Linked DNA regions of Lytechinus pictus. The main gene of each other region encodes a partner of the protein of the gene in region 2 in a complex. Links are inferred from orthologs where the notes say so. Each region holds a gene or a part of one and is shown on either strand. Other genes may lie near its edges.

Region 1 (7,349 bases), on a different chromosome or scaffold from region 2:
GGGATTCGGAACGTTGCATGAATATGCATGAAATTGCTGAATCTCAATAATTTTTTATTGATACTGGAGCGATCCGATCACGAACCAAGACCATTTCACGCATAGACAATGTGACCGGATATCGTTATCGAAACTTCCGCACGCGGTCCAAAGGAATTATTTTGGCGACCACGTAGTCATGACGTGATCTGCACAATGGACCAATCAGCGGTCTCCAAATCGCTGTGAGGAGATGGTCTATCTGTTGTACACAGACAATGGACAATTTGCCACTGCGCTGTACCTCCCTGACCCTGTACTCAAGTACTTCCCAGAATTTAAGTTTCTCCGGCCAGTATTTCTCATTTGACTGGCAGGAAATACCTAAATTTTCTGGGAAACTGCCAACCCCGAATTGAACTTCTGGAAATAAGATAAGTTGCCTCAGTTTTAGGGGGAGGGGGCTGAATCAAATTATCAATGTCTGCAGTAACCTTAGGGACTAAGTCATTTATAAAGCAAGTTCCAGGATAGACCAAAAGCTTCGGTCTCTGTTATATTGGTTGTTCCGCTGAACTCTGTTGGCCGGCTCCACTCACCAATTACAGAGACCGAAGTTCTAACACGATCTTTACAAGGACTCAATGGTCATATGTTTATGTATTAAGTTCGAATAAACCAGGGAAGTGGGAGTTGCGCTACAGCCGAAGTAAGTCACTTTTTTTTGGTCCAGTTCTTTTTATATATGTCGGGGGATTTCGCATTGTTAATCCCCTAATGGCGCGGCTGCACGATCGCGAGCCGTCTGTGTACAAGAAATAAAAAAATAATAAAATGTTAAAAAAACTCCTCGAAATAGACAGCTGCCAGCTTTCTAGTTCCAGGATAGCCACATCTTTAATGGCAACACATCAAGACCAATGAAGGCCAAGGATGTCCTGTTGACTGGCCTCATGGAGATTTGAATTGCCCCCTTTTCCTTTTCTTATTCAAGAAGAAATTATGTGGACGATGTGACCTTGTCCTCTCAAAGTATAAGCCTGACACATATTTCATCTCCTTGTTTGAGTCCTCAGAGATTAATAATAATAATTGGATTTATATAGCATTTTTTCCAGAGGATACAAAGCGCTATGGATGGCATAAGACAAGTTAAGGTTTATGGCTATATAAGTGTGTTTTGAGATGTTTTTTTAAGATGTCAAGAGAAGAGAGGTTTCGGAGAGATGGAGGGAGTTTGTTCCAAAGACGGGGGGGGGGGGGGGGGGGGGGGCAATAGATTGAAAAGAGTTGAAACCAGCCTGTTTTCTGGACTTTGGAATGACATAGGAAGGAGCAGCTGCAGAACAAAGAGAGTATGTAGATCTTTGTTGCTGAAATAGTGAAAAAATTTAAGAAGGAAGTGTGGTTGACAGAGATTTATAGGTTTAAACAAGTATTCGACAATGTATTCTATCAGAAACAGGTAGCCAATCAAGTTCATTTAGAAGAGGGGTACTGGGGTAGCTAGGGACAGTGATTTTCCGCGATCGCGGAAAACGGACGGAATTCACGGAAAGGGCCTTTTGAAACGGAAAGTGGCATTTCAAACGGAAAATCACGGAAAACATATTTTCCCTCAAAATACACAGAATAGCAACATAAATTACTCCAAAATCACAACAAAATGAGAATATCAAATGGCCACAAAACCCCAGAAAACACGATCTCACTTCGCTATTATCATGACAATTCACACATCGTGACTGCACTCGACATCAGCACACTCGATTGTACCCCGCACCGTACCCGTACCCGGCCGGCCGGGTTGGGCTTCACATATGCACACATATCGTTCAACTACACGGTCGTGTGTTGCTGCCCTCTACGTTTGAAGATGTAACAGCACGATATCGTGGTCTGAAAATCCAAGATGGCGGATTGGCAAAAGCCGTTGACTGATGATAACGATGTCCAAAAAACCCCAAAATCATCGATGAAATATCATTTCACCGTAAAATAATGCTAATAATGTGAAAGGTGAGGATGTATGCATGCTAAATGGGTTTGTAAAAATATTTTATGCACCCGCATAGATCCGATTAGAACGGATTCTATTGTGTTGTTGGTACAGTAGCAGATACAAATTTTGACCAGTGCGAGTGTACCTTAGTGTTGTGATTTTGCTATTCAATGTGTATTAAAAACGGAATTGTCACTTTTCCGTGTGTACAAAGTCTATGGGGAAACGGAATTTCCGTTTTCTGACATGCTGAAACGGAATTTGAGATTTTCTGAAATGGAAAAGGCAATTTTTTTAAACGGAAAATCACTGTCCCTAGGTAGCATGACAATATTTTGGTTTTTGACAGATTAATCGTGCACATTTGTTCTGAAGGCGTTGAAGTCTTCCAAGATACAAAATTTTGGGTGGAAAAAATCATGCTTTTGTTGGTGTTGTTTCTTTTGTCCTTTTGCAAAGCAAGTCTACAATATGGGAGATTGTCTCCCTCTTGGAGAGAGTCTCCCATATTGGCCGTGCGCCTCTACTGCCCAAGCAAGCAACCTTCTTTCTCTAGTCTAGCTAGATCTAGAAACTTCTTTCTCTAGAAAAATCTTAACTTAAGTTTTTAATAAATAGAAATAATCTATCATCCATTTCCCCAAATCCAGGGCGCAATTTTTGGAGAGAATGTACACAAAATTAAAGAGAGACAAATCACAACGCTACGTGCGCGTGCCGCAGCAGAGAGCGAGCGTACCACTGCCTTCATCCCAGCCCCAGTCTGTCGGACCAGATAAACCGAGGTTTCGCCCAATTCTCTCGCGTGGGATTTTTGGTAAACACACCACGTTACATCAATTCAAAGTTCAAAACTCAATCACAAATATCAAATTCAACAATGAATTAAACAATAGCAGGCAAGCACATCTTACTTCATTGCTACGTGACGCTCTTCTACTTGACTTTCGAGTTAAAATATGATGTAATTTACAGGATCTCTTTTTTAACTCCGTGATCCAATTCTAATTTTCGGAATCTGGCTAAAGGCTATGGGATGCCATTGATCCCATGCAAAATTGAGATTGAATTCATTTGTTAAGTTCTTCAAATTTTATGCATTGATCTTGAATAAACTATTTTAAGAAAATACGATTTTACTTCAATTCTGGACAAAATATTGAATTGAAATATTAAAATAATTAATTATAAGAGGGGTATTTTATATTACATATTTATTGTACTTCAAGCTTTCCATACATATTAAGGTATTGCGACGGTAAACGTGAGATTGCGTTCATCAATCTGGCGATTGGGATCTACATTTTAGGCGAACAAATATAATAATTTTATTGTTTTTCAGCTTATACTGCTTTGGTATAGTGAGGAGGAGACCAATTTCTTTCTTTTTCTGACGGCATTATATCGTAGATACCAAGTGAGGTAAATATATTGCATTCGCAATTTTGGGCCATATTAAGGCCAGGCAGGATAATGCGCAAGCCAAGGCTGTCACTCACTCCGGATTCGCCCCGCTCCGCAGCCAAGCCTAGGGTTCGGGGTTACCTCTCTAAGCTCTCCAAACTCGGGCCTGTGAAGCTGCTGGCGTGTGTACATAGTCATAGCAGAGATCGTGTGAACGAATGTAAATGAGTTACCAGTGAATATGTGAATGATTAATAAAAATTAAACTTCTCTTTTGCATCTTTCTGAGGAGTAAAGTTTCCATGCGAATATAACTGTTTATATAGACTAAATTTCAAAATAAATCTTTGAACAGCAAGGACAAGCGGGAGGGAAATAGAGATTGTTTTGTAAATTTGTATTGTCCACAATATGGAAATTATAATTTATGATTAAAAGACCATTGTTCAATCCTGTCCAAGCAATTCCTTGCATCTCTATACATCACTTTCCAATCCCATATTGCAAATGAAATCTGTATGTAGATCTAGGTCATAAAAAATTGTCTTAAATTGTATTGACAAGTATAAATCAGGCGCGAATCCAGGGGGGGGGGTTGAAGGTGCGTAAGCCCCCCGTAGGATTTTTAAAAATGAGACGAATTGACCTTACATATAGGTGAATAACTTTTTTTTTGCTTAATATTTTGGCGGACAAATTATTGACCTTAAATTTAGGCGACAACCTTTTTTTTTTTGGTCAAATTTTCAACGGGTAAATTATGGCACCCCTTTTAAAAAATCTTGGATCCTGTAGCACCCCGTGAAATTTTAAACTGGATCCGTGCTTGTATCCAATTTTCTTGTTATTTTCATTACCATTTCAGGCATGTTTAACTTCAGTAGTTCCGGTGGTCGTCGGCTGTGGACAGGTATGAAATGGGTCGTCTATGCTGAGATAGGGTTCTTTGGAGCTGCATACTATGTATGGCACAGGATGAACACTCAACAAGGTATTGTTACTCACCTTATACTATATAGCAACTCTGAAAATTGAACAAAAAAAGCATTAATAGTAAAACTGAAGACTTACTCATTTAACTCTGCATATATATAGTTTGATAGTGTTTTGTTTCTCTCTTTTCACCTGTGCATCTTGAACATTTATTAGATTCAATTGGATTTTGGAACCTCAGATATCACATCTATTATTATTATTAAAAATCCAGATTGTTCATTTCAAGTACATGCTTTTGGGGAGGGGGTAGCCTTTAGGCTAGTAGTCATCAAATTGAATTACTTGCCCCTGTGCCTAATCCGATTAAAAGAGTAAGTTAATGTATTGTGTTGTGTTTATTTGTTTATGTTATGACCTGTTCGGTGAATTGTTAAAGGTAGCAGCTTCAATCATAAACCATGATAATCATCAAATTGTGACTTTACGCTCTTTGCCCCCCCCCCCCCCCCACTTCAAAATTGTTCCACAGCCCCTGAATATGGCTAAATTATCATATTGCAAATAATTGCGCATCTTTTTATTGAAGTTGTTTTATCAAGCATTATATCGTATATCATTTATTAATGAATCGAGGCCTGTTTTCTCATTTATTTTCAGATTTTAGGAAATATATGCATGAGAGTCATCCCAAGGTTCTTGAATGTAAGTATTTTAAACAAGCAATTTTCACTGTGAAATAGAAGTTTGTTTTACCCATCAATAGATGGTATTTAATTTGAATGTGTTTATTACAAAGAAAATTGCTTTAATCTGAGTACTGGAGAGTATAAAACAAGATTTAGATTGCAGTCAATTTGAAGAGAATAGAAAAATGCCAATTAGACCAGTCACCCTTAATCATTAATAACTATTTATCTTGCTCATTGACACTTGATAAAATGTAGAATATATAAATGTTTATTGATGACATTGTGGAACTGCCCTGTGGTGCATTGACTTTATGTCAGTGATTTGGGGTATTTTATTGAACTATTTATTTAATCATGGTAAAACTCACATTCAGTCAGAACAGACTGCTTTTGAGCAAGTCTGTGTTTTGTGTGTTGAATGTAAAAGGGATATACTGTATGTTATGATTGAGTAATCTGATTTTGTCTTATATCTTCCTTACAGTATTCTACAAGGGGGCAGAATTCGGAGGATTTAAGGATGCGCGGCAGCAGGACTATGCAACTTGGGGCATCAGTAGTAAACAAACTGTTGATGAAGATTTATGAAACCTACTGAGGATTATTAAAGGACTAATACTAGATAGACTTAAAGTCTTCCAGGTTTACATTTGAATTGAGTAGCAGCATCAGATGAAATTGATCACAGAGGATCTATTAATGTGTCTGCCGCCCTCTACAGTCTGAAGAGGGTATTTCATGTTGGCTCCATCAGAAGTTCCACTTAGCAACACTCCTGAAGACTTGTTGTTATTATTTGTTCAATGTCTCCATACTTGCATGTCAATTTGCCTGTGGCAAGTGATCTGGGGTGTGTTTTGTTTACAAATTTGCTCTGAGCCAATCAGATTCAATGATTTTGGTAGCTTATAACAATTATCAGTGACAATCACTGACTATTGTTTCATGTAATGCTCCCCAGGGCCAGGTATTTGAACAGTATATGTATAATTATTTTACATAGGAAATGATGACAAACTTGTAAATATACGATATTTATACAAAATGTATCTGATCTCTGTATTGAGGAATATATTATATTAACAATTTCAAATGCATTCAAATTTCTGGAGCTCCCGGGCCCGGTTTCATAGAGACTAGCAACTATGGTAACTTTGCCATTATTCTTACTTCCGTCATCCGTTGAAAACTTGATTTTGATCTGCTATTGAGCCCTGTTACCATGGTAGCTGCCATAATAGCAAAGTTATCATAGTTATAACTCTTTATGTAACAGCCACAGAACATCCTTATCAGAATGATAAAGGAGTTTGATATGTTAACAAAGTTCACCCATTCGTTACTGTTGACATGAACAACATATTGTACTAATCGACAAACATGTTCTTTGAACTTCTTGAACATAATAGTGAAACATGCATGACATGTATGATTAGTTCTCAAGGAACAAAGTCGGGTCAATGATATAATGCTAGTTTTAAATTCATATTCATCTGTTGCATTATGTTTGATCATGTCATTCTTATGGTGATTAAATCTTTTCCAGAACAATTGAGATATCAGTCAAACGTCAATATAGTTTGCACATTGTATGTGTAGGTATTGATGAGAATTACTAATTGTTTTATTGCACAACTGGGATTTCCCTTAAAGATGAATATAAAATCATGACATCTATAAAAAAATAAAATAAAAAAAGCAGTGGTGCCAGGGTACTAGTTAAGTTGCAAAAAAATCCCTTTCCATAACAATTAGGATATCAGTTGAACATCATCATGGGTTGCTTGTTTTACACGTGGGTATTCACTTGATAAGAACTACTGATTGTTTTCTTCTGAAGGGGGAATTTCTGTGAAAGATAAAATGTAAAAACTATCAAATCAGCTGCTTGGGGTACTTGTCAAGATGACAGAACAATTTATCAAATGAATATTTGGAGTTAACAGTACCATGACAGGCAAGTGGGTTCTTTCTCAAACTCTTTTTTTCATTTTCTTCCCCTCTCCCCCTCTCTGTCTCTCTCTTCACAACATGTGTTTCTCTCTTTCTTTACTACTTTAAACATATAGGGGTGGTTGCTTGTCAGCCCTACCTGTAGATATGTTGCCCATTTATCAAGATCCTTATTTAAGTGGCATGTCTTGCCTACCCTAACTCTAAGTGTAATTTGTCCCTCACTTAAGTATCTTTTATTAAATGCATAAAATTTTAATAAATCACTTTATTAGTCAAATGTATTGAATTATTCTGCATGTGTTTCTGCATGTAATATACAGTGTAATACAGTGCATCCCACAAAAAACGAAACCAAGATTTTTCGATGATTTATCACAAATACA
Region 2 (7,922 bases):
CGACCAAACTCACTCCCTGCCCCAAACTTTGGGAGGTCATCGAGGTCCGTCTTGTAGTGGATCTTGTTGTTCTCTCGTTCCATCTTAGCCTAGAGAACGGTGGTCAAAGGAGGTATTGTGGAAGTTATTTGTCTATGTCTTCGGATTTAAAAAAAAACTCATTCTGAAGATGTACATGTAAAACAATCTAAACAATCTCCTTCAAAATAAAACAATCCAAACAAACTCATTCAGAAGATGTAAAACAATCCAAACAAACTCATTCAGAAGACGTAAAACATTTCCCCTAGCATGAATATTTAATTAATAGAAATATCCCAATTGTAGATAATTGTATATCTTGGAGTATGATATTAAGGGATGGTCCGGGCTGAAAATATTTATATCTTAATACATAGAGTAGAATTCACTGAGCAAAATGCCAAAAATTTCATCAAAATCGGACAACAAATAATAAAGTTATTGAAGTTTAAAGTTGAGCAATATTTTGTGAAAACAGTCGTCATGAATATTCATTAGGTGGGCTGATGATGTCACATCTCCACTTTCCGTTTTCTTATGTTATTACATAAAATCATAATTTTTTCATTATTTCATACTTGTGTGAAAAGTATGTCTCCCTTATAATTAAATAAGTTGCAGCAATAAATATCTAACGCACTAAATCAGTTGTCAATCCAATATTTCTAGTTCTTGGAGGAAAAAATTTGAATAAACCTAATTTCATATAATAAAATACAAAAGAACAGGTGGAGAAATGACATCATCAGCCCACCTAATGAATATTCATGATGACTGTTTTCACAAAAATATTGCTAAACTTTAAAATTCAATAACTTTGTTATTTGTTATCCGATTTTGATGAAATTTTCGTCATTTTGCTCAGTCAATTCCACTCTATCTATTAAATTATACATACTTTCAGCCCGGACCATCCCTTTAACTCTCTTGGCTTATGGCTTAAATAGTACATAGGAAGATGTTTTAATAAACAGTCAAACACTCTCATTCTTATAAAGTATCAATGAAAACTTAAACACTGGTCACTAAGCTTTTATAAGACTGGACTGTTAGAAATGACATGTCAAGTTTACATGTAATTTTCATAATTCACAACACCAGGGCTTAATCAATCGCAATATCATTGTTATGACAAGTGACCCTGTATTTGAGAGGGGGGGGGGTAGGTCACAAACATGTACATGTACAGATCTAAGTTTGACTTAAGATTGCACTTAAATTCCTAGTTGTGTGTGGTGTAACACATTACCTCATAGTGTTGGACATGCACTATCTTGTAAATGAGATGTTGTAGGTCAGTCAGAATTTCAAAGTTTGTGACCCCCCCCCCCTCCCCCTGATTGCACTCTCCACTAATTAACCATATAATTGCATGTGTACCTGCTTCCATTTGGAGAGATCAACATTGTCATTTCTATTGAATTGCATCACACTGTACTTCTTCCTCTGATTCCTGTGGAAAAAAAGAATAGTATAACTGTATAATGTTTGGCTTAGGGGCTTGAGGAGGGGCAAGGTCAAGGGCGGAGAGGGGGGGGGGGCAAAATACTTTTTATTTACAACCATGCATGAGAAGAACATAGGGCAGTGAACCCTGTGTATAAAGACAACTCAAAGTAGACAAGGAAAGCAGTCTTTACGAGCATATGGTCCTTATGGATAGGTTGCTATAATACATGTTTCAATGCAGAATACTATACAAGGAAAAAATAGAAGGTTGTGGTCTTTACAGGCATGTTGTCCTTCTATACAAGTGGTTGTTTAAGCAGGTTTGATTGTGTCATTAATATTTAGTTTTTAAATGGTGAGCTCCTAACTCAAAGTGGAAATTTGTGGAACATATTTGGACGCTAAAATGCGACTGAGGGTGAGGGGGGGGGGGGAGGGTACCCACACATTCCATAACAAACCTTTTCATAATCTATGCTTCTGGAAAAGCCTTTCTTCAGTATATAATCAAGTTTATTCCATTTCTTCAATATCTCAAGTTTTTTGTTCAATTGCTATATAGCCAAATCTAACATCCTACGTAACAAAATAAGCTTAACAAAGACAGTAGACATACGCTAATCTCCTATTTTCCATTGCATCACTTTAGCCTAATTTCAAACCATGTCAAAAACATGTGGTAATCCAGTGTATGTGTCCCATTGAGAAGTACAGTACATATTTCTATTGATGCCCTTTTTAAATGCCCTTGGATGCCCAAAAAGGTGAGTGCCACATTCCCTTTCCTTAAAAGTGCCCAATCAAAAATGACCTAGCCCCTTTTAAAGTTGAGCCCTGCAATTGATGGTAGGACCACACAGAAATTAGACCAATTTGATAATAGACCAAGTTTGTATTAAGAGCCATGATGGTGTCAGATAATTTGCAAATTAGAACATCTGCTAGTAGACCAAGTGGATAGTTGGATATAGAAGTCTTATTATTGGAGATGAAGGTGAAGAAGTGTGGTAGCATCAGTCAGTCTTGTTTTTTTTGTTTTTATTTACATTGTTCTTTGGGCCTGATGTTGCCATCATGATCTGATGAAAAGTGGCCAGTGACTGCCACATAATTAAATAATGTGACTAAAGTAATTAGAATTGGAATGGGCAGTCAACCCAAACCAGATATAGCCAGGGGCCAAAGCCACTTGCTCCTGGGACTGAAACAGGGTATTCCCCTTCACAGCTCGTGCATATGGATGCAAGCTAGGGTTGTCACCCCCAAATGGAGCCTGGCCAGATAGAAGCCAAGCTAGACAAGCGAGCAACTTTGACTTCTAGCTTCCTGTTTTAAGACAATGAGAGAAAAAAAGCTCATATGCAGGATACAAAATTAGGACTAATTAATAGTAATTGAACGTTAAAATGTACACTTACAGAGGGAATCTGAAATTGAATTCCTTCACATCTCCTGTATTGGGTCTAGTAGGTGTTGATAAGGATGACGAAGATGTACTCTGTGAATATGAAAAGAAAAATATATACATTATTTTCCCTTCAAAATTATGTACTTTACTTACTTGACAACACTAAACTTCTCTTTATAGAGATACTGTAGGGGAGATCAGTTTGGTTGGAACGCGGGGTAAGTTGAAACATTGTAATTTTCTTTAACGCCTTTTAATAAATTTATGCACTACTGCCCTCAATTTATTGCCATTATCAACTGCCATCCACCATATTACAGACAACACATGTGCAACAAGCCTGGTGAAGTTAGAAAGGAATTTTTGTTTTTAATTGCATGTAAAATCATGCGCACACAAATACGCGTAATCCTACTACACAGTCGGCTTGCGTGAGTGGCTGTATAATAGAAAACATAAAGTTCAACAAATCAGAATACACACCTTAAATTTTTTGAACTTGTAAAAAATAAAGCAAAACCATGTAATATAACAGTTGTAAGTAGAAGTATAATTCTTAATTGACCATGCAGTGTTCCAACTTACCCCGTATATGGGGTAAGTTGGAACGCTTGCGATGGTCTTGTTCAAGGTGGATTTTTTTCAGTAATCATCATAGAGTTCAAAAATTTATGGGGTACATTTGAAGCCCTTTATGCTTTAAGCTGATATATTGATTGTTTCTCAAATAAATTCTATTTGGATTTTACAGCCATTTTTGTCAAAAATGTTCCAACTAACCCCGATCTCCCCTATGCACTATCTTGTTTTCATTAAACTAAATCTTTCTTGGCCTAGACTGTGTCCTCCTTATTATTGCAGAAGGCTGGAATGAGGAGAATGTGGACAGAAGAGGAAACAAGGAAGAAGAAGACGTAGAAGAAGAAGAAGAGGAAAAGGAAGGAGAAGGAGGAGAAGGAGAAGGAGAAGAAGAAGAAGAAGAAGGGGAAGAAGAAAAAGAAGAAGATGTAGAAGAAGACAATGACGTACAAGAAGAAGAAGAAGAGGAAGTAGAAGAAGAAGGAGGAGGGGAGGAGAAGAAGAAGAAGGAGGAGAAGGGGAAGGAGAAGAAGGGGGAAAAGGAGAAGAAGAAGAAGAAAAAGATACAAGGACATAAAGGTAAACCATATCATATACCAACAAATTCCAATTAACATATTAAACAATATTCTAACTGTTGAAATTAATGTATACAATATTAAAGTTAGGGTAATCAGAAACTAAATTCACATTAAAAAAAGTTAAAACAACTTGTTTTTTTTCTTTTAAGAATAAAGAAATCATACTGATGTGTTACAGACATGTTCATGCAAGTGACTGCTATCATAATCTCAAACCTGCACAACTTGATAGCCAATTTTAAAAGAACAAAAATATCAAGAAAGTGCACATAAAACTTGATGTTTCATTGCTAACAAATCAAATCAGAGATATTTGACAAAGAATGAAGAAAAAAGGCAAATAAACAATGAATCATGATGAGAAAATAGGAAAGAGATATGCAATAATTGAATCACAGTCACTCAGTCATGAAGGTTATGTACAACAAGTAGGCACTAAGCACCAGTTTTAATTAATGGTATCATGTTATGGCATGACAAGTTCAGAAGGGTGTCAAATTCTTTGATCCCTTGCACTTGGTCGTATCTGATTTCTAGTTTGTATAATTTACCAATTTCACATGGATTCTGCATGAATTTTAAATAAACTATAAATATATACAGTGCTGATATCTGCCTTTACAGTTGTGTCAAGAGGCATCCTTTTCGTAGCATTTGTATTTAAGATGGATTTTAACCACAAGGAGTGTAATTTACTGCTATGTATCCTCTGTGAGGTAAGCATAAATCTTCTCCCCGCCCCCCCCCCCCCCCCCCCCGGAATCTTCTCCTCCTTCTCTTCCTTCCTATGTATTGGTGTGCAAGTGAGTAACACAAATGTTTCACCTGACAAGGTAATCTGTCACCAATTCCCCTTGTTTTAACACCAAAAAGACCCCGTTCTCATTCCAGTCCTGAAGCTAGTTTAGTGGAAACCAAATACTGGAAACTAGTTTAACAAGTAATGGGAACGCTTGAAGCATTCTTGGAGGATATCTTAAGTGGTCATTCAAACTGGTTTGGAAGACCCAAGACTCATTAACTACAATGTGGAGCGTTGTGGCCCAGTGGATTAGTCTCCGGACTTTGAAACAGAGGGTCGTGGGGTCAAATCCCAGCCATGTCATAGTTCCCTTCAGCAAGAAATCTATCCACATTGTGCTGCACTCAACCCAGGTGAGGTGAATTCCTTGAAATGCCGAGTGCTGGAAGCTAGCTGCTTGAGCTACAGCCGGGGTAATAATAACCAAGTCCTTTGGAAGCGCATAGAGACGTTATTTATGTGTTATGCGCTATACAAGAACTGAGTATTATTATTATTATTATGTATTTTCATGTACAGTTTACTTTCTCAGTTTATAATGACATTTCAAAAATTTAACTTTGGTTAAGATTTCAATGTTGATGACGCTGATGCCGTTCCCGCAGCCATTGCGAAAGTGGCAGAGGTAATAGTCTCGCTTAAATTGTCTTATTTTGGTATTACTGGAAAGTGCCATCTTGAATGACATCATCATCCTTGTGGATGTCTTTACCAGTCACAATATATCACAATTTGTAAGCGGGTGGGGGGTCCATTGGACAGCATCTGCAAGAAAAAATATAGAAAAAGGGGTGTTTCTTAGAGGTAGGCGCAAACAGCGAAAATTTGAAGAAAAAAAACAACCTTAATCACGTTGTAGTAGACCGGCCAAAAGTAAAAAAGTGCTCTAGATAAGGATTCGACGGCAAAATTTGTTAATGCTTGGCATACCAGCTAAAAGTCTTGCAAAAATACCCAGGAATAGCGTACGGCCAGATGCCAAGCGCAATTTTGCGTGAAAGTGTCATTTTTAGCGTAAAAACTGAAAGAATGTCGAAAATCACGCATTTTGATATTTTTATGGATTATCATCATATTTTTGGTTATCTTTGATATGGAATTATTTTTATTCAGAGTTTTAAATTATAAGTCTCATAAATATGCATTTCAAATTTGAATATTACACACACACACTTGGCACAGGGAAACATACAACCGCGATTTCCTCAAAATAAAAGTTTGTGAAAACTATCGATAGTTTGAAGTTTTTTTTACGCAGCTTAAATTCTTCGATTTAACTGCGTTTATCCATCAAATGTATAGTAAATGTCCTAATGTCACAAATATTAAAAGAATTTTCAAGTAAGATGGAAGATATCTCACTTTATGTTATCCGAAAGGAGACAATGTGCATTTTACCAGGTGCACATTTTGAAAGAAAAATTGAAAATACCGTACATTATGTACATAATTACATGTATAAGTACTTACTAAATTAAAAGCGAGTTTTTAATTACATGTATAAGTGCATTCTAAAGCGAGTTTTTAATTGGATAGCACAAGTTGTCAATTCTTTGCATCCCAGCTAAAAGTCTTGCAAAAATACCCAGGAATAGCGAGCGGGCGGATGCCAAGTGCACTTTTGCGTGAAAGTATCATTTTTTGCGTAAAATTTGAAAGACTGTTGAAAATCACGCATTTTGATATTTTGACGGATTATCATCATATTTCTGGTTATCTTTGATATGGAATTATTTTTATTCAGAGTTTTAAATCATAAGTCTACTAAATATGCATTTCAAATTTGAATATTACACACACACACATGGCACAGGGAAACATAAAACCGCGATTTCCTCAAAATAAAAGTTTGTGAAAACTATCAATAGTTTGAAGTTTTTTTTACGCAGCTTAAATTCTTCGATTTAACTGCGTTTGTCCATCCAATGTATAGTAAATGTCCTAATGTCACAAATATTAAAAGAATTTACAAGTAAGATGGAAGATATCTCACTTTATGATATCCGAAAGGAGACAATGTGCATTTTTAAATTATCAGGTGCGCATTTTGAAAGAAAAATTGAAAATACCGTACATTATGTACATAATTACATGTATAAGTACATACTAAAGCGAGTTTTTAATTAGATAGCACAATTTGTCAATTCTTTGCATCCCAGCTAAAAGTCTTGCGGAAAAACTGAGGAATAACGTACGGGCGGAGGCCAAGTACACTTTTGCGTGAAAGTATCATTTTTTGCATAAAATTTGAAAGACTGTTGAAAATCACGCATTTTGATATTTTGACGGATTATCATCATATTTTTGATTATCTTTGATATGGAATTATTTTTATTCAGAGTTTTAAATGATAAGTCTACTAAATATGCATTTCAATTTGGAATATTACACACACATATATGGCAATATGAAATATAAAATCGTGATTTACTAAAAATAATAGTTTGTGAAAACTATCAATAGTATAATGTTTGTGTTCCGCATCTCAATTTCGTCAATTTTAGCGCTAACCGAATAAATACATAATAATTGTTGTCATGGCACATAAAGTGAAAACAAATGTTGAGATAAGATGCAAGATATATCATTTTATGTTATATATGCGAAAGATAACAATGTACATTTTATCGGATGCGCATTTCTGATAAAATACAAACAGCGCACAATATTACATCTATATTGCACATACTAATATTAATCAGTGCGATACTCGTCATGATATTATAAAGGATTATGTTTACTTTTGTAGAGTTCGATCTTCTTGCTATTTCCGCGAATTAATTGGTGCTGAACGTAAATCTACCTGTGGCGATATTCATAAATAGGTCTGATATTTAATTTGCCGTTACCATGGTAACATTAATTTTGTAGGAATATCTATATCTAAAATCATAGAAACAGTAGCGTACCTAGGATTTTCCACAGGGGGGGGGGGGGCAAAGCCGTCGGCCAAAAAATTTGACAAGCAAAAACAAGGTCTGCAAGCTCGTCGGGGGGGGGGGGGGGGGGCATGGATACGTCTTTTGCATGGTTTGGGACTCGTCAGGGGGGGTGGGGCAGACTGCCCCCTCTGCATAGAAAA
Region 3 (7,658 bases), on a different chromosome or scaffold from region 2:
CTTATACTATCATGTTATTCCATTTTGTAACTCTATTATGTAATGATCTTTGTTCACCCAATCGGGTGTGGGAGGGAAGGCCTGTGGGCCATGGCCATTAAGTTGACCTATTCCCTACCCAGGCTACCTGGTTGGGTGAGAAAGGGTCTAAAAACTATTTGTATTTTTGTACTATTTCTCAATCCTGCATTGTACATGCTGTCTTGTTTTTGATGAAGTGCCGAATAAAATAATAATAAGACACACTCTCCCATTTGGTCACTGACTGCGTGCTCTTTCACTAAACTTTTCTTTAATATTTTACATCCAGGATTTCAATATGTTCAGTGTTGGGAATTTAGGGCTGGCAAATCTTATCTTAAGAACTTACCAACTCTATGAGAAATAAATTCATCATGAAGGACTGAGCTGTTTGCCTGAATTTCTACCCAGTCAATTGCTATTGTGGGAACCTCTGCCAGCATAGTCCTCCTGATACTGTTCGCAACACTGTGGTCAATACAGAAAAAAAGAAAAAGAAAAGAGTACTTCAGAACCTTGTTTACTGTCAAGAATGAGTGGGATCGATCGATCAACGGACAAAATTTGAGGTGAAAATCTTAAATTAGTGTCCTACAATGTAACATCGCAAGGTCGGCCGGTGCAAAACTGTATAATTAGCCATTAGCGCTGTATTTTTTTGGTCCAATTATGCTTAAGCATCTGATATGGGGGATTTTACTCTACAGTAGATTAGTTTTGGGATTTGGGGCAATGCACTCATTCAATGAACAAGGTTATGATATAACATTGTTCTCTGTTACTCCCTGTGTGGTGAAATAAGGTTGGCAATGTTTGGCGTATTTTCTCCTGTTCTAGGGGACAAAAACTTGATTTTTTGACAGTCAGTTTCCAATACAGCTATTCATCATAAACTTGGCTCTTAAGTAAATTGAATTCTTTTAATTATTTTTTATAAATTAGAAATAGATTTTTTAGCGTCCTAAGTTAACTTTAGTGAATATAAAAATGGTACGGGCAAGGTTAATAAAATAAATTGCAACTGTATTACCATGATTACTATGGAAATTAGTATTTTTGGTTACAATAAATTTTTTTAAATTAATTATTTATGTATGTGCTCTGTACTGCATTGGCATACCATGTCATGTAGATTTTCCACACAGGCAGGGTGGTTGCTACATGTAGCCTTAAGGACTCCATGATGATATTTAAAAAATATTTTTACATGATTATAGCGAAGTGGGGGTGAGATCGTGTTTTGTGCCTAGTAAGCATTCATATTTGGTTAAGATTTTGGAGTAATTTCTGTTGCTGTTCTGTGACTGTGCAGTTTGAGGAAAAATATGTTTTCCGTGATTTTCCGTTTGAAAAGCCACTTTCAAAAGGCCATTTCTGTGAAATCGCGGAAAATCACTGAGTCCAAACATAATATTGGGTATTATTGACGAGAGAAACGTTATAGATATCCCTAAGTGGCAAAAACAAGCGATTATCGACAAGACTATCGATAAAGACGTTATCGATAACAGCCCTAATGTCACCCATGGGTGCATTACGCACCGTGTACAGGAAAATTGAAGGCATGGCGCATGCAAAATTGCAACAATTGCATGGCAATCCCGCAAATATAATTAAAAAGAGGTTTTATAAAATCAAGTCCTTCTACGAAACTTACCGAACGATGTAAAGTCAATTCCCCCTAATATCACAAATATCCGAGTCATTTAAGCGCTGATTTCTCTTCTCGTTGATAAAATATGGATCCGTCTTTTAATTTCCGATTTTTTTTGTCTAATTAGCTAAAGAGGGCGTGCGATTTACATGCAAAGTGTTATGCAAAGTCGGCAAAGTGTCCAATCTTTTTATTGTAAAGACTTCGGTGGAATGTTCGTTGACAAACGAACGGTAGCACTGCTGGCTTCGTTCAAGGCATGTAGGCCTAGAATTTTCTATTTTTTTGTTTAATTTGTCATCGCTTGGCCTTGGATGTTTTCCAAAAAGTATTAGTGTCAGCAAAAGTAATCTGAAAAGTATGTTTTTTAAGTTATTGCATTTATTGGTGTCTATATTTTATCAAACAATCATGGGAATTTCGCATACAATGAATCTAGACTTTTTCTAGTTATAAAATACAGACGAGCTGAAATAAGGTTGTGAATTGTATTACTATTACTATTAGCGCCACCAACGACCTTCCTTTTAATTTCCATGGACTGATGGAAGAGACATGCAAAGGCAAGCCACTTCCCCGGCCGAGGTAAGCGATTTTGCTCTTTTTTTATGTGCTTTGTATATTAAAAATATAAAAAATGAAAATGGAACGCCCGTCACCAGAAAAAGTGGTGTCAGTGGTGAGTAGCGGAATGAGTTTTGACTTAGTTTTGGCTAACATTATTCCCGTTAATATGAAGCGATGTTAACCGACAACTAGTAAAATATCGACTGCGTAGACACGTACGGATACGTCGTGCAAGGTTTGTAGGCCTATAGCATACTAACCTCGCAATACGTGTGAGTGGGTGCGAGGTTAGTATACTAAAGCCTTAAGATAAGAGTTAAGGACTAACCTCGCAATACGTGTGAGTCACTGAGTGAGCAGCACGACCGAAAAACCCTGTTCGTTTCAACCCAATTGACATTGCGTGCTAATCCAACTCGCACAGCTCAAGTCACACATGACATTAAAAGTTACTCTTTGACTTTATAAACGAATTTTACCTAAGATCTGTGTCTTCGATTATGAACTTCACATTGTCATCAGTCAGCTCCGTTAACTGTATCGTTGGTTGGTTGGCATAAGGCATAATTCTAGACAAATTCTGTAAGATTTTATCAGAAATTTGATTGTCGGTCCTCGGAGTCGGAATAAAAATGAGTATGGAACGCGATTGGCAATCAATGGTGGCGAATTTTGATTTTGCGCGAGTCGGGCGTTGCAAGAAACTAAAACTGATCAAATGTAAAATTGCTACAGAATATTTGCAAATATGTTTTCTTGCAACACGTACGCCTTTACAATATACCACCTGTATGGAGTTTTTTTTAAAGCTGTCCTGGCATGGGCCTGGCATGTTTTGAGTGTTTCATCCAATGTTTTTTTTTTTATTATTATGATTTTCTTAGTTGAAATAGCAGTTTTCACATTAAAGGGTACATTAATTCAGTCTGAAAAATGATATCTTTTCAAACAAATGAAAATAAATTAAAAAAAAAAATAAAAGAGCCATCCCAAAGAGCATGAAATATAGGCCCTATAGCCTAAAATCCAGATCCAAATCATTCATTGAAAGACGTGTATTTCATTACATTGATTTTGCATTTCTTCGTCTAGTTCAGTTGCTTTGTCTTTTTTTTCCGAGTGGACCTCTACTCACCGGGCATAAATCTTTTTGTCACCCCATGGGCCCTGACGAAGAGTGTGATTTTATCTTTCATTTTTGAGAGCTATGCTCCGTAAAAAAATATATGATTACCAATTGTGATTTATTAATATATGCCAGCCGCTATAATTAGGAACATGCCTCATGCAACTTCGATCCGCAAATATATATAGTGGACGGAATTAAAGACGTTAATTTTATTTTTATCACATTTTGTGGAGTGTTGTGGCCTACTTTGCAAAGGAGATCGTGGGCAGCTGGGTGGTCTAGGAATTTTTTTAATGAGGATAGGATCATGCTGGTTTTTTTTTTAAGCAACTCCCCAAAAAAGGTTTTCTCTCCAAATCAAAGTTGATTTTGGTTTAAAAAAAATCAAGCAAAAAAAAAAAGTTTTGGCACTCAAAAATTAGTGTGATTTTGGTCAAACCATAGAGATATATTACTAGTTTGCGTTATTAGTATATATCTCTATGGGTCAAACCCGCTCTCAACTAGTATTCTATCCAAATTCAGGGGCGCTGATGAACATGGTCATGGGTTCGAATCCCAACCATTGCGTATAATTTCCTCCAGTAAGAAATCGATCTACAATGTGTTGTATTCTCCACCCAGATGAGGGTACTTCTTCAGTCATGGACTGCTTCTCATCGATAGGCCCATTTTGAGTAGGTCCATGATTTTGAAAGCTCGAATTCGGGTAATTAGTCCATAGACCGTAAGACATTGGAATTTAAGCAAATGTAGTATTTCAGCGATTTCCACACTTTTGTAGTTCAAGGCCTATTTTTCAAATATTGAATTTTACAGATTAAAAAAGAAAGTAACGCTTCGTTCAAGTTGCCAGCATGAACAGTTTCTTTCGGGCCAGAGTAATTGGAGCCAATTCTACAGGGGCCGCGGAATCTGGAGGGGGGGGGGGGGGGGGCTTCAGCCTCCATTTTTTCTGTTCAATCAGAATACACGATTAATGCCCTCTGTCTCTCCCTCATACGCACGTACACACGCTCGCACACCACAGAAATACATCAGGGGCTTTACATCGTGTCAATGGGGAGGTTTACATAATAACAGGGGCCGCGGAACGGTTTTCAAAGTGCCGGGGGGGCTGACCATGCAAAAAATCACAATCATATGGTAATTTTTAAGCCCCCCCAGCCCCCCCCCCCGCTTACGCGGCCCCTGTAATAAATGGTAATAGGAAAGATTCATACATTTACTTCTTAGATAATGTTTCAGAAAATTTCGTAAGGAGCAAGAGAAGCTATCTTGTCACGTAAGTTACTGATGTTAAATTTTCTAATAAATAATTAGATGCATTATATAAGATATGCTTAAAATAATATTCATAAATACAGTAAAATCGCTGTTTAAAATCTTATACAAAGCTATTTACTAAGTTTAGGGGAGTTTAGGCCTACGGCTAAGTAAATGTTTAACAGTCTGAACAACCATGCTTAATTTTTTGAAGATTAAAGGGGAAGTTCACCCTGAAAAAAAAGTTTATTTAAAAAAATCAGAAAAGATAATAAAAGATATTCATTTTGACGAAGGTTTGAGAAAATCCATCGAAGAATGAACAAGTTATTAAAATGTTGATCAATTGATTTGTGACGTCATATGCGAACAGCTGTCCTGCATATCGTATGGTAACAAAAATCAATGAAATGTCATTTTCTCAAAAAATTGAAAATGCTGGTTTTTACTGTATACCTTTAGTATATCAATAGATATATTATTTCACACCTGTTCCTAAAGAGAAAAAAAATGGTTATCACGAACCATTTAAAATTTGAAATTTATGCATTCTATACATGTATTACATAACATATGGGGTCGCTGCTCGTTTATGACGTCACAAATCAAAAACTTATAATACCTTTTTTAATCTTTAATGGATTTTCCTCAAACCTTCACCAATATTTGTTGTTGTTGCTATTTTTACAACAAAGGTTTCTTCAGGGTGAACTTCCTCTTTAAACAGGGCCGTAGCCGGGGGGGGGGGGGGGTTAATTCCTGGATTCCGCGGAACCCCGCCGCTTGCCAACAGCCCCCAAAAGTCTTGAATAATATTTGATTAGCGAGGTGTGTAACCCATTTAATTCCCAAACTCCAAAGAACAGTGTTTGAAATATCCACTTTTCATGTAAGTAGGCCTATATCAATCATTTTCAGCGATTTGCATATGCATTATAGGGGTACTCCAAGCTAAAAATAATATGATTTTGAAGAAAAAAAAAACACTGAAAATATGATCAAAATCGGACAAGGAATAAAGAAGTTAATATATCATAATAAAGAATTGCATTATTTCGGTGAAACAGTTCTATGCATATATATCTTCATTAATATTCAATAAGCAAGCTGATGACGTCATTTCCCAACTTGTTCTTTTGTTTTTGTACATGAAATTATGTTTATTCAAATTATGTCTTATTATTGAAAAGTGTGCTTAAAGTGTCCAGTTTTCAGATCGGAATGTGAAAAATTCTGCTCGCTGGCAAGATAAAATAACTCGTCATGTCGACATAATTAGGCTATTATGTCAACATGGCAAGATAAAATAACTGCCATATCGACATTGTCTCGTAAAAAGTCACGTGACGTCGCGATGCTATGCCCGTATGTCGCGAATTTGGTTTCGGAAGTTGCGTGAGACAAGAAAAAAGTCATAAGTGCGGCGCTATCTTTTTGCGTTTCCGAAATATTGCGCGAAGCCTTTTAGGGTTAATATAACCGTCGCACTGACATATGCCTCACATGCCTCAACGATCTGCCTAGATGTTTGCCATCACTGGCATAACCACATAATTTGATGTCAGCATCTGGTATTGCTTGTGCTGCACATACTTTGCCGTTATGGCTGTTGACAGGCGCGGATCCAAGATTTCGTGGGGAGGGGGGGGGGGGGGGGGGGGGCCCAAATTTGACCTGATTTTTGGCGCCCATGTGTACTTTTTGAAAAATTGCGCCCCCTCCCTCCCGGCCAGGCTAACTTAAATGTAACTTAAATGCCTTAAATGTATTTTGAATTATCTTATTACATAATCACATTAAAAAAAAGGCAATTAAAGACCACTTTTTTAATGTGTTCTTGAAAAAAAAAATCCATGAAAATATAATGTAATATCAATGGGAGCGCGAAGCGCGAGCGATTTTTGGGGGTCTCAATTTGGTTTAACTTCTCACCAGAGTAGGCCCTACTAGAATATTGTGTGAACGGGAGCTGTAGTTTCTTTACTAGTTGTTTAGAATAGCCTTCAATAATATCAATGATAACCTCTTGGGAATAATGCAATCTCGAAGCAATCGACTCAATCTCCTCATCAGTGGCGAAGCTGTGATTTATTCAGCAGGGTTGCACGGGGGGGGGGGGGGGCTTGTTGAACTTTTGTAGAGGGCATGAAGATAAAATAAATAAATAAAATGGGGGGGGGGGTAGAAATTAAAGAAATTACGAAATTTTATTCTTAAAAACACATTGAGGTATCTCACAAGGCCTAAATAAATAATGATAACTCGAAGCGCGATATATTTGGAAAGTTTTATTATATTTCACCATAATCCCTTTCCTTTTCTCTCTTTTTTTTCTTGGTCGTGATTTTTTTTTTTTTTTTTTTTTTTTTTTTGGGGGGGGGGGGCAAAACGCCCATGTCCTAACAGTCATTTCCTAGCTTTACTTTATAAACAACATGAATGTGCAATAATCTCTTAAGCCCTATGCGAGATAAAAAAATAATTAAATTTCATGTATTTTGACCTGAAAATTGAACATTCTGGGCAATGTTTGTGAACCTGAACAAGATGCGTATGTAACTAGATAATTACTACGAGCGCGAAGCGCGAGCAGAAATTTTTAATGTGCGTTCTGGCCTGGTCGAAAAGGGACCTGTTAAGCAAGTTTTGCAGTTAGCCATTAAGACGATACATATTTCAACGATTAAATAATTAGAGCGCGAAGCGCGAGCTGAACATTTTTGATATTCCAACCTAAAAAATTAGATTTCAAACCCCCAACGGGACACTCGATTCATGTTTTGTCACTCATGAAAAATGATGGGTAGTTTTTGGTATCTTCCTACATTGATAATGCGAGCGCAAAGTGCGAGCAGACATTTTTTTATATTCTGATCTGAAAATGGATAATTTTAGCACGTTTTGAATAAGATCAAGAAGCGTATCTTAATAAACATGCGTGCACGTGTTTTAGACTTAGACAGAATCTGGGCATTCTGAATACATTTCATTTTTCATCATGAAAATCAATAATGCGAGCGC
Region 4 (7,647 bases), on a different chromosome or scaffold from region 2:
TCCCATATCTGTTCAATCATTGCAAAGCAAAATAGACATCTCAAGATTAACCAAAATGAAACAGGAAAGTTGTTTTTTCATAATGAAACTTTATGATAATGATGATGATAATAATGATAATCATGATAAAATAGTTTAATGATTAGAACAAATCTATTATAATATTGATACAATAATATTGTAAAATGATTACATCAACAAACAAAAGTATTTGTTAATTCAGGAAACCCTCATTAGCTTCAAGGTTTCCCCACTTTTGAACTATGCCCTTATGAGGTACTTTGCCACTAATTCCCAGGTACATGTACATGTATGTTACCTATTTTACATCTTGTAAGCTGGAATGAGTTTTTCCCTGTATGACTTAGAAGATGTAAATAACATGTTCTGAATATTCTGGTCTGAAAAACAAATCTTTGGCTCCAGCAATTATTCAAGTTAAGGACAAATCATGCAGACTATGCTACTGTTTTATGCCAAATCCCCTAATTTTGTTTATTACTTATTTAAAAAAAATATTTAAAACTAATTTCATAAAAATCATAGATTATTCATCATTTAAATATTAAAATTGGAAGTAAAAAAAAGAAGAGACGAGTCGAAATTCGGGGGGGGGGGGGGTGTGAAAGTGAGACCCCTGAACCCATACCCACATCCATGGATTCTTTTGCCGTAAATAGGCACCCATCTCTAAGGATTTTCTGTGAAAAGACGACCCATGTTTGAATTTGAATTTTAATGTTAACACATTTCAGGTGCAATATAATATAATTCAATTCTAAACATTCTGAAAGTGTTTGGTGAGTTTCAAACCCGCACCAACTGAAGCATATATTATACAGCACCAATTATCTGATTGCGCCATACCAGACAAATTGATCATTGGGACAAAAATTACGGTATGTAATGTACTATTCATTTTCTGTGGATATGAATATTTTTTAGGCATACTTGACTCGGCCCTGCATATTTCATCATTTGGGAGCAAACACAGTTCTAAATCTCAGACAAAATAACGTGGGAAATATAAAAATTAGTGACCCCATGTCTTCAGATTATTTTTGTGGAAATTGGAATCATGTCTAAAGATCTTTTTTATGAAAACGGGAGGTTAATGTCTAAGGATTTTTCTTGAAAAATTCACCCTTCCCAGCGGCACATCTCATATACCCAATAGGCCTGTTTTAGCCTATTTAAATTTCTTTTTTTGCTTTCGCCAAACTACAATAAATATGGACTTATTCCAAGCTAATTGAGAGGAAGCATCAGGGAGCCCCACCCCCCCCCCCCCCCAAGCCCAAACCTGGCTGCAGACCAAGAACTTTCTAAAAGTTAAAAAAGGGGGGAAAATGAAGAGGGCAGTATCTCTATTCTGACTAGAGATTTGATGAAAGACATAAGAAATAACACCTGGCAATTTTTTTTTCATTGAGTTCTAAAAAAAAAAAAAAAATCCCTCAAAAAAAGAATGGTTGAAACAGGTCATTTATAAGTTTTCACCAGTCCAGCATGAATGACATCAAATGGTAGTTTATTCAAAGAGACTCTATTTTAAACTTGTCTGTCTTACACATGCATAATTTCTAAAGTTTTTTTTAATTTTTTCAAAAATAAATATTCCAATAGTGATTAATGATTGCATAGTGTGCTAAAAACTAGGTTTCAAATAATATCAAAAGATGTGCTTGAAAACAAAATAGCAATCCTCTGATTGTTTGCTTCATATTTTATCCAACCTCAACGGTAATTCAAAGGGTCTGGAAAGAGAATAGACACGAAGACTACCAAGACATATGATCAATAAGCTTCTTTATGCATGAGTCAGGGCACCGGCGGATATTCATTGGTTCACTAAATACCACTTCATGAATATGTATAAAAACCTAAGGTCACTCAACCAAATACACGAATGTCATTGGCTGCAAGGCGATCTGTAGTCAAATGAGGCTCCAGTATAAATACATGGGCATATGCAAATCGAACCCTAACAAGAGGTCGCGGCGCTCCTGTAAAGATGGCAGTTCACGCCGAGACCGCTGCCGTGACACACCGCACAATTGGGCGCGAATGGTTCCTACAAATAAGGATTTATCGGAAAGTGGGAAAACAGAATGTGGAGTCGAAAAGAGAGGAAATTTTGTTCTTAGGGTAGGGGATCTTCTGAACAATCTATACATCGTGCTGGAGTTGGCAAAAACGAAAAAGAGGCATCCGAAAAAGCCCCTCTTGAGAGAACATCAGTCCTCTCAATCGACGTGTAATATGCATTGCCATTGCAAATATTTTCTGTGCGATTATCACAGTACCACTACCGGTACATGTACAGAAGAACGAGAGCAGCTTTGTACATATTTTGCCACTGGCAGAATGTTCAAACAGGCGCAGGCAGCGTATTCTTACCTGTTTCAGATCTTGCAAAACATTTTCCTCCACTCCTTCGTCCAAGAATGCATCTCGAACGTTGTTAATCACATCATCGATTACACTTTTGTACAATTTGTGCTGTAAAATGCGAAAGAAGAGAATTTAGGGAAGGCTGAAAATATATATGATGAATAGATCTACATTATCAGGAAATTATTGAAAAAAAGACAAACCCCTGCAAACCATGATCATCGATTACCAATTCATCCAATAATCTGTCGTTAATTTTGTTTATTATATTATTATCTGACGTCAAAATTTCGTCAAGAAGGATGCGTCCTCTGACTGAGTCTGACCTATCTCCCTAAATATTTACTGAAATTTTTTATTTTAATCAAAATCAGACTCGGTTCATAGACAGTCATTTTCAAAAAAGACAATTTATTTAATTAAACACATATTTTTCCCCGTGAATTTTCTTATTAATCCCATAAAGGCTCACCACAGTCTGAGAATTAGAAGCCATTTTCAAATTTCAAAAGAAAAGGTCCAGATCTGATGAAATGAGAGTTGAAAAAAAGAGTACAGGTACGCTTCTCTCCTCACGTCTCGGCTCCACCGAAGCCACTGCAACTCTGTCGCTCGTGGCTTTTATACTCGTCAACAAGTTCTCTTTTTCACCTATAGGGGAGCGGCAAATTGAAGGAATTGTCATACCCCCTATTAAAACTCCTCGTTCAAAACTATTCAAGTTAATGAAAATATAATGTATCATTACATGTATAAAACAACAAAATTGGTTAATTGTAATTAGTTTTTATACATTTAGTAATAATATACAATCAAAAAGTCAATATTTTTTTTCATAATAGAGTTTTGTTTTCATAATTTGCTAATAGCCTTGTATGTAAAAATCGTCTGCTTCCGTTATCTAGTTTGTCGTCTGCTATATGACAATTGATGAAGAATACGAATTTGGAATAAATGCCTCAATGAATGACGAATATACCATTTTTAGCAGGTAGTTTTGATTTTTGAAAATATACAAATCATTCATCCGCAATGCAGTGAAATCCTTGGCAACACCTCGTTTCTAATTAATGTTCATGCAGGTGAATAAATAAATCTCTATCCCTTACAGGACAATGGTCTATCCTCACAAAAAAAATGATTTGAAGAAGGATAAAATCAAACAAACAAGGTATTTGTACATCCTGGTCAGTATATAAATGAGGATTCTTGGAGATTTTTGTTTTTATCTGACAGTAGCCATAGCAATATTGCTTCTCAGCCAATCAAAAATCAAGGTAAGTTGTCAGATCTGACAAGTTGTCGGATGAAAATGCTGATGAAACGCTCCCCTGATCGTGTAACCCGCTCACTATTTATTATTTTATGAAATATGAATGTTTTCATTTTCTCCTCATTATATTGTGAAACAAAGTTTGATTCCTCCCTGAAAATGTGGAATTAACGCTGATGTTCGATGTAGGGTTCCTTTATTGAAAAAATTTGCAAAATTTGAGATATCGTACAAAAAATACAATAGAAATAGTAAGTGAGTGAGACCATCGACTCTTTCACTTATGTGCATATGGTGAATTTAATTATTTCTGGAAAATAAACGAAGCCTTAAAATGTCATGGCTATCTTATTTCACATCCGATTTCGATGAAGTTTCTACTTGTTTGATTTTTTTTATCTTCATTCAAATAAACTGTTGGGGGTGTACTTTCTTTTTAACATGAAAAAATGATTCCTCAAAACAGAAATTGAAACAAAGATTTTATTTACATTCAGTTAACCTTTACCGATTTGGTTGTTCAAAATCCACTTTTATTGCGCTTATCACATCGATGATCGAGCCTTCTGATGCGCATATACAGATTAGTATAATGGTCAATATGGCTTGCCACTTTAATACAGTGTATATGCATATTCCCTAGCTAGGGGAGTATTCTATGATCAACGAGCAACTAGCCAATACATTGGCGTTCGCTTCCTTCCGGGAAACAAGGTGCATCTATGGTCACTTTACCACTACTGACCCGGTGGCAATCGAACACAGAACCAAGGGCGCCGGAAGCGGGGGGGCAGGGGGGGGGCACTTGCCCCCCCCCCCAAATAAAATTTTTGGGGGGCAAAACGAGATTTTGCTCCCCCCCCCCCCCCATGTACCCCCCTAAAAGTAGAAAATGATAAATAATTTAAGGACAAAAGTAAACGATGAAGGCACTTTTCTGCCTAAAAATTGTAATTTCCATTGTCAAAAATGAATGACGGGGCTATTACATATCATAGTAAGCCTCGCGTCTTTTGACGATGTCCCTCTGCATGTGAAACATACCTTTGATAAACCCCTTTTCTATCTTATTACAGTGTGATAACGTTTAACCTTTTAATGAATACATTTCAGACTAAAACCGAATGGCAAATTGAAAGTGGTTCACCAATGCATGCTGGCTGTGTCGGCTAACAAACGCGCGGTCGCCCAAACGCTCAGACCGGACCCGATATCACTAAAGGCGACCGCACACCTTACGACTGGTCTGCGACCCGATTTCAGAATAAAATGTTGTAGAATTTGATGCTAATATTGAGACTTGGAATGTCTTACTGTGTAATGTCATAAATCATCGTACGAATACCTATGATCAAATCTGTGACTATATTATCATCTTAGAATAAAAGAGAATTTAATATCTAGTCGTAATGACGTCATAGCAGTCGTATGATTGGCTACGATTTGAAACTAATTTGGCCTTTACTTCAAAATAAAGGCTTGCAATCTTTCAAAATGGTTATAAGATTATTTTTTCAATTAATTTTAACCTCAAATAAAGTGATATGTTCCATTCACATCTTCAGAAAATGAGCAAAATGCGATTTGTTCCAAAATCGGATCGCGAACAGTATAAGGTGTGCGGTGGCCTTAACGCGCGTGAACGCTAGTTACTCGAGCAACATTATGGAATCTATGTCATAGCTGTTAAGCCCAGAAACCATAACATCTCGAGGTCGTCAATATCTCATATACTTGTTGCCTGTGGAAGTCATCCCTGAAATAGTAAGTAGATGATAAAGATATAGATTTAAATTATGAAAACTTATTTCAATTATTTCATTTTCAACTAAATATGAATTGAGTTAATACAATGATAACAAGTCAGTGCCCTAAAGAAAATACCAAGGTCATTTCAACTCAATATAGACATGTTATCAGAAAATTACACACAGAATAATTATGTGTAGAGGATTATAATTTGTGAAAATGGTGAATCCCACTCGAAAGCAACTTAGAGATAATGCTTATGCATGAAAAAATAAAATCATCTATGAAAGTGTCTACTTGATCTGACTCATATTATCCGAGATATATGAATAAAAATGTAAATAAAGAATATAAAAGAAAAATAAGCGTTACAGTACTGCTCTACTATAAAAATCTTAAGATATTTTCATAGTCCCGTATTTTCCTCGATTCCTTTTCATTGGCATGATTGGCAGGCGTTTTGTCTGATACTATTTCAGCTCATATGATAATATAGCACTTTTGTATTTTAGATTCCAAAACTCCTTCCCATTACCTGTTACTATATAATCAGATCGAGAGGCAGCTATGTTCTCTGGTTCATCCCAGCTTTTGTTATTCATGGACGTATGCAAAAATATAAAAAAATCCGGGGTGGGTGGGGCTGCAAGAACTAAATTTTCAAAGAAACTTAAGAGCGAGGGGGTTTGTGATGGGGGAGCTTTTGCATTTTCTAGAATAAAATTGAAGGATTTCGTGCACACTTTTGGTGAATTTTCAATGAATTTTTGCCCTCTCGATCGGCGGCCCCCGGCTGCGTACGGTCATGTTTGTCATCTTAAAGTCTTTAAAAGGCCTATATTACATTTGTTTGAAACAATTTCGTTTGCCAGGCTCGTCATTTGCTGGAACTGCGACCCTGATCATGAAGAAACGGGAGGAAACAGAAGGAGCAAAAAGAACTCCAAGACAATGCGAAAGGATCTCGATCACTCCTAACATACTTTTCAAAAGTACAAAAAAGAGGAAAAGGACACTACAAAGTCAACTCAAGCAAGTGGAGGTTTGCCAGAGTCCTCCACAATCCACGAAAACCCTGCCATATGCCAGAAGGGACAAGAAACCGAAGTTCTTTAAAGGAAAAACCCAAATCAGTCTACTTCAGCTAACTTCAAGAAAGACAATCACGGCAGGCGGTTTCGCCCTGAGCGGCATTTTGCCATATATGCCGACAAGGGTGCTTGCGAAAAAATCCTAGTGGTGGAAGAGAAGAAGAGGTTTTCAGCAAGAAGGGGTTTTCAAACTGGAAAAAGGCAATTTAGGCTTTCCAAAAGCATGAGCGAAGTGAAAGCCATCGCTTATGTTTCTGAAAGGATATTGCATGAAAATTTTTGGTATTTTGAGTCAATATAAGCGTATAATACGTAATTTAATTGATCAGACATGAAAACCACATTCCGAAACGATTGTTTTGCGCGTAGATTTCATAGGTTCTCATAAATTATGAGTATAGTCTTTCGTAGTGAATTCTATGTTTAATTCTCAAGAAATTTATTTTTGAATGCTCTTCGATACGCAACTTTTATACTCCATTTTTACACAAAGTCCTTACCATGGGGGGTCCCACACACTCTCCCGCTCGATCGCTTCGGTATCTCACGCTATCAAAAATACTTGTGCCCCCTTCGGGATTTTGCCCCCCTAAAACTGAAAGTGTTCCGGCGCGCCTGCACAGAACCCACTGATTATGGCATGTTGTGATAGAACAACTAGGCGCACATTGTGAACAGACATTACAACACTTCGTTTCATAATCTTAGGCCCATGTCTTATATTTTGCTGCTGTGTCAAATTGTGTTTTACCTTATGTTTTATGTCATCTTCATGATAGATGCAAAATTGGAAGAGATAAGTTTTGAAAACCTACATTAAACCTACATTTCTATACACTTTACTCATACCTAATGTAAATTCACTGTTTTTTAGATTGTAAATTGACCCTTTCAGCTCTGCTGTTAGCCTTTAGAGGCGCGATAGCTCAGTCGGTAGAGCGGGGGTTTCGGATTCCGGTGACCCGGGTTCGATTCCCAAATGGTGCGCTAGTGCCCTTTGGTAAGGCATTTATCCTCATTTCCAGGTCCCTCGGAGAGGACCTTAAGCCGTTGGTCCCCTGGTTGCTTGCTCACAGGCATTCGTGCTTTCTTAGCAGTCAGGTATAAAACCTCGGTATAAAGTATCCGATATGCGTCGGG

Evidence for each region.
Region 1: general transcription factor IIF subunit 1-like (region 2) and general transcription and DNA repair factor IIH helicase subunit XPD-like share a complex: the UniProt entries of both Homo sapiens proteins name them as parts of the TBP-based Pol II pre-initiation complex. The link is inferred for Lytechinus pictus from reciprocal best matches to the Homo sapiens genes GTF2F1 and ERCC2.
Region 3: general transcription factor IIF subunit 1-like (region 2) and DNA-directed RNA polymerase II subunit RPB3-like share a complex: the UniProt entries of both Homo sapiens proteins name them as parts of the TBP-based Pol II pre-initiation complex. The link is inferred for Lytechinus pictus from reciprocal best matches to the Homo sapiens genes GTF2F1 and POLR2C.
Region 4: general transcription factor IIF subunit 1-like (region 2) and transcription initiation factor IIA subunit 1-like share a complex: the UniProt entries of both Homo sapiens proteins name them as parts of the TBP-based Pol II pre-initiation complex. The link is inferred for Lytechinus pictus from reciprocal best matches to the Homo sapiens genes GTF2F1 and GTF2A1.

Annotation. Positions count from the first base shown.
Region 1 is NC_087251.1:46,649,541-46,656,889, forward strand, and holds the start of general transcription and DNA repair factor IIH helicase subunit XPD-like, read right to left. Parts: upstream 3,018-7,349; 5' UTR 2,901-3,017; coding exon 2,896-2,900; intron 1-2,895. Other genes in the region: protein CEBPZOS-like, read left to right, coding at 4,253-4,376, 4,979-5,023, 5,495-5,598. UniProt on the Homo sapiens protein: ATP-dependent 5'-3' DNA helicase. Component of the general transcription and DNA repair factor IIH (TFIIH) core complex, not absolutely essential for minimal transcription in vitro.
Region 2 is NC_087255.1:31,039,417-31,047,338, reverse strand, and holds the start of general transcription factor IIF subunit 1-like, read right to left. Parts: upstream 3,014-7,922; 5' UTR 2,999-3,013; coding exon 2,889-2,998; intron 1,475-2,888; coding exon 1,402-1,474; intron 90-1,401; coding exon 1-89. UniProt on the Homo sapiens protein: TFIIF is a general transcription initiation factor that binds to RNA polymerase II and helps to recruit it to the initiation complex in collaboration with TFIIB. It promotes transcription elongation.
Region 3 is NC_087246.1:61,220,090-61,227,747, reverse strand, and holds the start of DNA-directed RNA polymerase II subunit RPB3-like, read right to left. Parts: upstream 3,019-7,658; 5' UTR 2,808-3,018; coding exon 2,722-2,807; intron 490-2,721; coding exon 371-489; intron 1-370. UniProt on the Homo sapiens protein: Core component of RNA polymerase II (Pol II), a DNA-dependent RNA polymerase which synthesizes mRNA precursors and many functional non-coding RNAs using the four ribonucleoside triphosphates as substrates.
Region 4 is NC_087251.1:22,636,878-22,644,524, forward strand, and holds the start of transcription initiation factor IIA subunit 1-like, read right to left. Parts: upstream 3,005-7,647; 5' UTR 2,891-3,004; coding exon 2,867-2,890; intron 2,503-2,866; coding exon 2,401-2,502; intron 9-2,400; coding exon 1-8. UniProt on the Homo sapiens protein: TFIIA is a component of the transcription machinery of RNA polymerase II and plays an important role in transcriptional activation. TFIIA in a complex with TBP mediates transcriptional activity.